Linked DNA regions of Saccharomyces cerevisiae S288C. Changing the gene in region 2 together with the main gene of any one other region gives a genetic interaction. Each region holds a gene or a part of one and is shown on either strand. Other genes may lie near its edges.

Region 1 (3,761 bases), on a different chromosome or scaffold from region 2:
TAATAACTTACCGTCAATAAAGTCACAGCCGACCCATGGTACAAGGATTACTTTTAAAGATGCGGGGAAGAATTCAATATAACTCGAAGGGTTTCCTAACACAGTGAAAAACTCCTCAGTGAGCCAAAAGCCGTTTATTCTATGAGTTTCCAAAAATTTAACAAAATCATCCTTTGTGGACATCTCATATTTATAGAATTCTACCCTTTCTGCCAGTTTGCGATATTCAGGAAGATGACTGGCGACTTCCCATTGGGTTTTATAAGGCACCAAAATTCTTGGTTTGGCAGAATAAGTTACATCTGCTATGTCAATTGAAGTAATCATTGTTATTTAAAGGTTGCTACTTTTGTACACTCAAGTATTTTTCTGTATTTGAGAGAGAGCTATTTGTACTCCACACTCCACCTTTTAGATCTGCGTCAAAGTGTCAGAATAAACATACCGTAAAACGGAATGACTACCGCCACCCCAATGACATAAAAACGGAAGAAAAAGAGCAAAAACCGAGCGCCAAACTATCTTATTCAACGAATCAAATAACAATACAAATGCAGAGGTAAAACATTATTCGCCACATATATATGTACATATCTATATGTATACATATTTTTATATATCAATCTTTTGAAGAGCAAAGTGACCTCTTTGTTGTTATCCAAAGTTTAACCAGTCCAGTTAAGCCGGATCCCAGGGACAGAACGGCATACGTTCCCTTTGGAGTTTTTAAATTTAGAATATCTGATGTATTAGCCATGCAATCAAACGATAATCTTGCAATATCTAAATAAACAAGTGTCTTTTCATCCTTGATGGCCTTTAGTTGTTTGTGTATTAACACCTCTGCGTCGTTATTAACATTTAGGTCATTTAACAACTGTTTCCTAATTGGCGATTGTGAGCCATCGTCTTTATGGGCCTGATGCATCAGTATGGGTGAGAGTAGTAACGCGTTATTTTGAACTTTTAGTTGCACTTCCAATTCTAATTGTCTCTTCTGTAAGCTTTGCAGGTTGAGCCAATGGTCCTTCAAGCTTAAAAGAATGTCGTATTGCCATGCAAGAGACTCTTGTCTACTGACAAAGGAATAGAATGATTTATTTGTCCATATTTTCAATTTGTATAGCAAGTCTAATTCATCAAAGATACCATAATACAAGTCCAAAAATTCTCTCAATGAAGCTTCATTAAACCATATTTTCTTAATTTGGTCAATTTGAAAGTTGCACTTTCTGGTTTTATTGAATTTCCCCAAGAAACTGCACACTCGGAATGGTGTGCCGCCAAACCTTAAAATATATCTAAAAGTACTTAATTGTTGACTGATAAAATCAATTTTCTTGTCAAAATTTCTCAAAAGAGACAGGAGAAGTACTTTAATTACCGTGATTGGATGCCTTAGTGCGACTTTTACAGTCAGATTTTTCAAAATCTTGGTATAGTACGTTAATACGGAAGGGTCCAAAACAGTTAAATTTCGCTTAGACTTTTCGATAAACAGTTTTAATATATCCAGAGCGTATTTGATAATTTTGGCTAATTTGTCTCTACCAGATAGAGAATCCAATATATATTTTAAGATGGTAATATTATCCACCATCTTTGTTTTTGCTTGAGAATCCTCATCATCACTTCTCGAGGATTCAGTATGCGACTCGCTTCCACTGCCTGCACTGAACTTCTCTGCACCGGCGTCTGATGAATGTGGATGGGTATTGTCATCCTGGGCGTCCTGGTAACTTGCCCCAGAATAAGGTGGTGTTTCTGAACCGGAAACGATATCTGTCGTGCCAAACTGACTCATTGTTTTACGACCAGTTTCTATAGGTGAAGACTTACAGGGAAGTTGAGGATATCGACTCTATTTGTTACTTTCTCCAGCATACAAATTACCGATGATTCTGAGAAGAAAGAAGAAAAACGTATTTCAAAAATTATATAACCTGAAATAATAAGCCCAATCCCACCGGAATTTCATATACTATCACCGACCTGGAAAAAAAATGAAGAGTAAAAAGAAAAAAATAAATTTAGCGCCGCTCGGTTTCGATCCGAGGACATCAGGGTTATGAGCCCTGCGCGCTTCCACTGCGCCACGGCGCTGCTAAATCATGTGAGTTTAGCGCGTACCGAGCAAATTCACCAAAATATTTACATCCAATTTGCTCCCCTCACTCTTCCCCGATGTCGGTTGTGATTACTGCTACGCATGGCGACTCTTAATTTCTTTCAGGTATAGTAACATTTACTCCTTTAAGTAATTGTCTATTTTTCCTCGACACTGTATGTAGTTACCTTTCAAGGAAGCTATTCCAATACCATCGTGAGAAAAACTCTATTGGATACTTCATCTAGCTCGTATATATGCTTTTTAAACTTTATACCAAACCGTGTAGGCAAAACTGGACCGCCCGGTAAGTTCTGCTATTAACAAATTAAATAAAATTGGCCAAACTGAGGATTGACAGTTCTGAATATCCAAGATTACTGACTTCAATTTTCTCACTTCTCATCATAATATTCCGCTGATTTTTACATACCGTATATCCAATTTACGGCCCTTCACATATAGCGGCGAAATGATGGTAAAGCTACGCATACTGTCTGACAGGACCCTATTCTAGCAACCTTACATGAAACAAAAACAAACAACATCACATCATACGGATGAACTACGGGTGCAATCCCTGACTCATCAATGTTTATCATAAACTTAGATATCAACACTGATAAACCCCACCTCTATTTTTACTGGTTCTTCACTTTTTCGATGCCGCACCGTCGCCCGCGATCCCCGCCCTTTGATTGCTCCTTCCATTAACAGTTTTTTTCTATCCCTTACAAGAAGCCGAGACGCCGCGAAAATATCGGCTAGTGCGAATAGTCTCTAGCTCTTGCCCTTCGCAAAGCACCGTGCTGCTAATGGCAATCAACAGCGCATCGCCGCTCGCTGAATTTTTCACTTAGCGGTAGCCGCCGAGGGGTCTAAAGAGTATATAAGCAGAGCTTGCGGCCCACTTTCTATCAAGATCTAAGACTGTTTCTCTTCTCTTGGTCTGTATATGTTTTCTCAAAGTTAGCAGAAACAACAACAACAACTATATCAATAACAATAACTACTATCAAGATGGAAACAGGACCTCATTACAACTACTACAAAAATCGCGAATTGTCCATCGTTCTGGCTCCATTCAGCGGCGGTCAGGGTAAGCTTGGTGTCGAGAAGGGCCCTAAATACATGCTTAAGCATGGTCTGCAAACAAGCATAGAGGATTTGGGCTGGTCTACGGAATTAGAGCCCTCAATGGACGAGGCCCAATTTGTGGGAAAGTTGAAAATGGAGAAGGACTCCACAACTGGGGGTTCCTCTGTTATGATAGACGGTGTCAAGGCTAAAAGAGCAGATTTGGTTGGTGAAGCCACCAAGTTGGTGTACAACTCCGTGTCGAAAGTGGTCCAGGCGAACAGATTCCCCTTGACCTTGGGTGGTGATCATTCAATAGCCATTGGTACTGTATCCGCGGTTTTGGACAAATACCCCGATGCTGGTCTTTTATGGATAGACGCCCACGCTGATATAAACACCATAGAAAGCACCCCCTCTGGAAACTTGCACGGCTGTCCCGTGTCATTCCTAATGGGTTTGAACAAGGATGTCCCACATTGTCCCGAGTCGCTCAAATGGGTTCCAGGCAACTTGAGCCCAAAAAAGATCGCGTATATTGGGTTGAGAGATGTTGATGCCGGAGAAAAGAAAATCT
Region 2 (4,372 bases):
AACGGCTGAATTGCTTCGGAATAAATTGAGGAAGCAATTCTATTGGAAGGCGCTGCTTCCGTATCGTTCACGGTGAGTGTATCCTGCACTGGATATTGTTTCTGGCTTTGGGCCATTTCTGGACCATATTCTGCCAAGTTAGTATTGTTTAGAGGAAGTGCTTCTTTCACCAGGTGTTTTGCTTCCGGTACCTCATTATTGTCGATATTGTCGTTATTATTAATTTTGATAGAAGGCAGTGGATTCTGGACTATATTATCCACTCTATTCTCCTCCTGCGATATATCATTTGCATTATCTGCTTTATCCTCTTCCTTTTTCATTGTTTTAGCTCTATCCAAATAAACTTGATAAATACTTTTCATTCTCTTAATATCTTCTTCTTCATTAGGGGATAAGAGTGATACATAGTAATCATCATCTTGACTTTTACTGCTACTACGATCATTCATATGTTCAGCTTCTCTGATATCTTGAAGTTCATAATTATCATCATCCTTACCAAAACGCAGATTCCTTTCATGTGTCTTTTCTGAACTATTATCAAGTTCGAATTCGAACGCGTCATTGCTTGCAGACTCATTTGACTCATTCAAAACCTCAGCCTCTTCACTAACTGAGGACGAATCATTGTCTTCATTAGGAAATGTAAACTGCTTGTTGGCACCTTCTGTGGCAGAACCACGGGAAAGCTGGTTATTATGGATTGGGCTACCGTGAGATCGAAAGCTTTCACTCTCTTGAAATCTTGAAGACGCTCTTATTGGTGTACAATTCGAAAAGTTATCAGGATGCAAGGACGTTTGACTGGCATTTCTAGACTCGGCCGCAACTTTATAGCCACCTAGTCCATCTTCTTGTACTCTCATGGCAAAATCTCTCAAACTGTTAGAGTCGTTCGATTCCTGTGGAAGCTGAAACGGGTCTACGTACCATGACCGACCAATTGCAGGTGGGGTAGCGCTTCTCACATTATATTTACTACTATGCATGCTACCAACAAAGGGATCTGAAGGCGGCTGTTGCAAGGTCTTTTCCATGAAGTCTTGCTGCGAGTCGCTAGAGTACAAATGATTTATTCCAGGTGAATAATCCTTCATTGTCGGTAAAAATTCAGAATCTCCTTCGAAATCTGGATCATTATCTTCCTCAGCTTCCTTTTTGCTTCTCCTATACACAATGCAAAGTATCACAGCCAGAACAATGATAATGACACCTACTGGTACCGCAACAGCCACACCAACAGTTACACTGGTGCTGTGACTCGAATCTGTGGGTAATTGACATTGCTGTTTAGAGCCTGTACATTCAGCAGATTTGCTATTTTTCGTGCTGGATGCTGAGGAAGAAGATGAATCGCTATCGTCTCTTCTAGTGAGCCTTGCATAAGCATAAGACGCATCAGAAACACTTACCGTTGAAGTCACAGATATTAAACTTTCATGCATATGGGTGTGGTACATCGCGAACTATATCTTTGTTAGAACTATGTGACGCTATATGAGTTCAACGAAAAACTATGAAAGGTAATGAAAGAATGAAAAGAAGAACCAGTGAAAAATTCGATATGGATAAAGACAAGGCCTGCTCCCCACAAAAGCTTCACCATGAGTTTGTTATTGATTATTAAAAGTTCTTATTGAGATAAAAAGAGAAAAAATACGGAAGAAACCTTGTCTTTTCGATGAACTTTCCTATTTGGGTGAGCAGTTTTCCTCTTCGAGCTGCAAAAAAGTTTATCGCTTCGCGAAAAAAAAAAAAAAAAAAATTTAAAGAATTTCAAAACGTGTCAGGGCTACTAAATAATTGAACGAGGTCTATGAAATAAAATGGGCTGAGAAAATTTCAAGAAAAAGGAAATAAGTAAGGGCTATTTAGGGTTAGTGGAATGGCTTTTATTATTTCCGCCGCGATGAACTTCCCTTTTATTGTGACATGATAGACATAAATATGACGAATGCCTACGAATTGGAGTCATCAGTAGATAGAACCATAATGAATAAGATAAAAACGCAGGTATTTAGGGTGACAAAGAGATAATATATCTTCAGCAAATGAGTGAGACCAGCTCAAGTCGCAGGAGCGCGAGTAAAGACGCTGTCAAATCTTACTTCGCAGGCAAATACAATAAAGTGTTGGATTCTATACTGGAGGCAGAAGCAGCAATATCAAAATCGCCAACTGTAGCAGAAGATCTATCAGGAAGCTCCTCCAGCGGAAATTCTGAGATGAGCCATCCTTCGCTAACCGCCTCCTCCGCAACAAGCCAAGGCATTAGCAAAAAGGAACTACTCCAACAAATTGCTGGTTCATTATTCAGTACGTCCATTGAGCGCCTGAAGACTGCCCACTCATCAGAAGTATCAAGTACTCCGGAATATTCAGTAAATGATTCGTATGGAGAGCAAGAGTGCAGGGAGTGCGATGGTGTTTTCAAGTGTTCAGCGCACTTTGAGGGCGCGCCCGAATATTATGACGATGAAACCGAATCAGGGCCAGCTCTAGAACCTATGACTTCCAATAGTGAAAAAGATCCTTTTATCGATGTATTTTTGGATAAACTAATATCGAGGTTGGTCCCTGAAAAGCTACCAGAAAGAGAGCATTTTAGTAGCAAAACCACCATTGAGCATGATCTAGACACAGGAAGGGTTCCCGTGTTTTCAGCAACTACATTGGGTAGTAATTTCAAAAAATTGTCTAAGAAAATGGGCTCAATATTTGAACTCCAGGACTCCATAGTTCGACTGCTGACTTGGAGAAACCCTACCGGGACGGTGACGTCGTTAATATTATTCACTTTGATATGTTTTAATCCAATGTACTTGGTAATTTTGCCTATATTCCGCTTTGTCTATGGTATTGTAGTTCCTGGCTATGTGCGTAAACATCCTTTACAAAGGAGTATATATCCTCTGAAACGGAATCACGGATCATCATTGTTATATGATGTGTGCTATGAGGGAAAAAATGAGTACAGCTACGGTCAACAGTTTTTCTCCAAATCTTTTATGGACACTTTGGAATCAAGAAATCAAGAAATAGACGAAATATCAGAATTAGATAAAAGAACCGAAAACACAGGGGAATTGAAACAAGGAATGAAAGTACTAATTAATTTACGCGATATGCAAAACATGACCTCTGGTACCCTTCATGTTATTGAGGCAATCAATAGTTTTCTTCGTAAGTCTTCTAGTTTTCAAAACGAAGAGTGCTCCACTAAACGTTTTTTTACAGGATTTCTTTTGATTGTTTTCTTAAAAATATTATCACCATTTGTGAATTGGAGCTATGTATGTAGCATATTCGCCTGGTGCTTACTGATATATATGCATCCAAGAGCTCATCCAAAAATAATAAGTTTTTTCAAAACAGGAACAATGGGAAAAGAATACAAAAACTTGAAAAAAAGAGAACACCAGGCGCTTAACATGATATTCGATGAACAACCGGAAACTAAATTCATCGAGATTTTTGAAATATATAAAAAGGCCTTACTGCCGAACGACTGGAAGTTTTTCCGATATTCAAATAGAATTTTCGATCCTCAAGATCCGTATAGAAGAGCACAGCAATTCCCACCGGGAGTAGATTCTTTGGCTGATGTTATTCCCCCCACAGGCTGGTCATTTGATCCTAATTTTGAGTGGAAAATTGACAATGATGTGGATAGGTGGGTGGTAGAACGTGGGTTGAATCTGCCAATTACCGGCGAATTCTTATTTGATCCAATGTTCAAGAGGAGGAGACTGATACATCGTGTTATTAAGAATGCAACACCAGTAGCATAATGCACAATTGTTTTCCTTCACCTACAACCCCACCCCTCTTCTTGGGGAAATCATTGTATTACGTACTTTTTTCCTAAAGATATTAGAAAAAAAAATGTTATGTATCAATATTACTAGGTAAAATACAAAAATGCGCTTTTGAAGTATAAATAATACAGTTTTGTTTTAAGAAATGCTATATATGAATTAATAATAAATGAAACGAAAAAAAGCACTACTTGAGTTTTAATGTCGTAAAACTTGAGAAAATTCTAAAGTGTCAGAAAAAAAGTGATTTTTAAGAAGGGACACCTTCTAGCTCGGATTTAGAGATTTTATTGATAACTCTTCTCCAATTTTTTCTATTATCATAAATGGGGACCCTCAATACACTCAAGTAAACGACAATACACAGTAGGGCAAAGGAACAGACTGACGCAGGGACCATCATTGTTACGAAATTTCTCCTAGAAATGACTTTTTCATATGGGCAACTAGCATAAGGACCACCACTTACCCAACAATTGCTTACTGATATAGAGTTCAAATCTATCCATATTTGTGTGTCAGAGAAGGAGGAATTCCTCATATATGCAATA

The links.
Region 1: of PEX28 (region 2) and PEX25, extra expression of one rescues a mutant of the other (dosage rescue), as found in Saccharomyces cerevisiae (one study listed by BioGRID).

Annotation. Positions count from the first base shown.
Region 1 is NC_001148.4:336,817-340,577, forward strand, and holds PEX25 (Pex25p), read right to left. Parts: upstream 1,805-3,761; coding exon 620-1,804; downstream 1-619. Other genes in the region: YPL113C (glyoxylate reductase), read right to left, coding at 1-327; CAR1 (arginase), read left to right, coding at 3,128-3,761. UniProt on the Saccharomyces cerevisiae protein: Required for regulation of peroxisome size and maintenance. Has a role in the import of peroxisomal matrix proteins. Imports RHO1 into the peroxisome. Also promotes peroxisome division and biogenesis.
Region 2 is NC_001140.6:395,197-399,568, forward strand, and holds PEX28 (Pex28p), read left to right. Parts: upstream 1-2,054; coding exon 2,055-3,794; downstream 3,795-4,372. Other genes in the region: SKG6 (Skg6p), read right to left, coding at 1-1,463; MTC6 (Mtc6p), read right to left, coding at 4,072-4,372. UniProt on the Saccharomyces cerevisiae protein: Involved in the regulation of peroxisome number, size and distribution.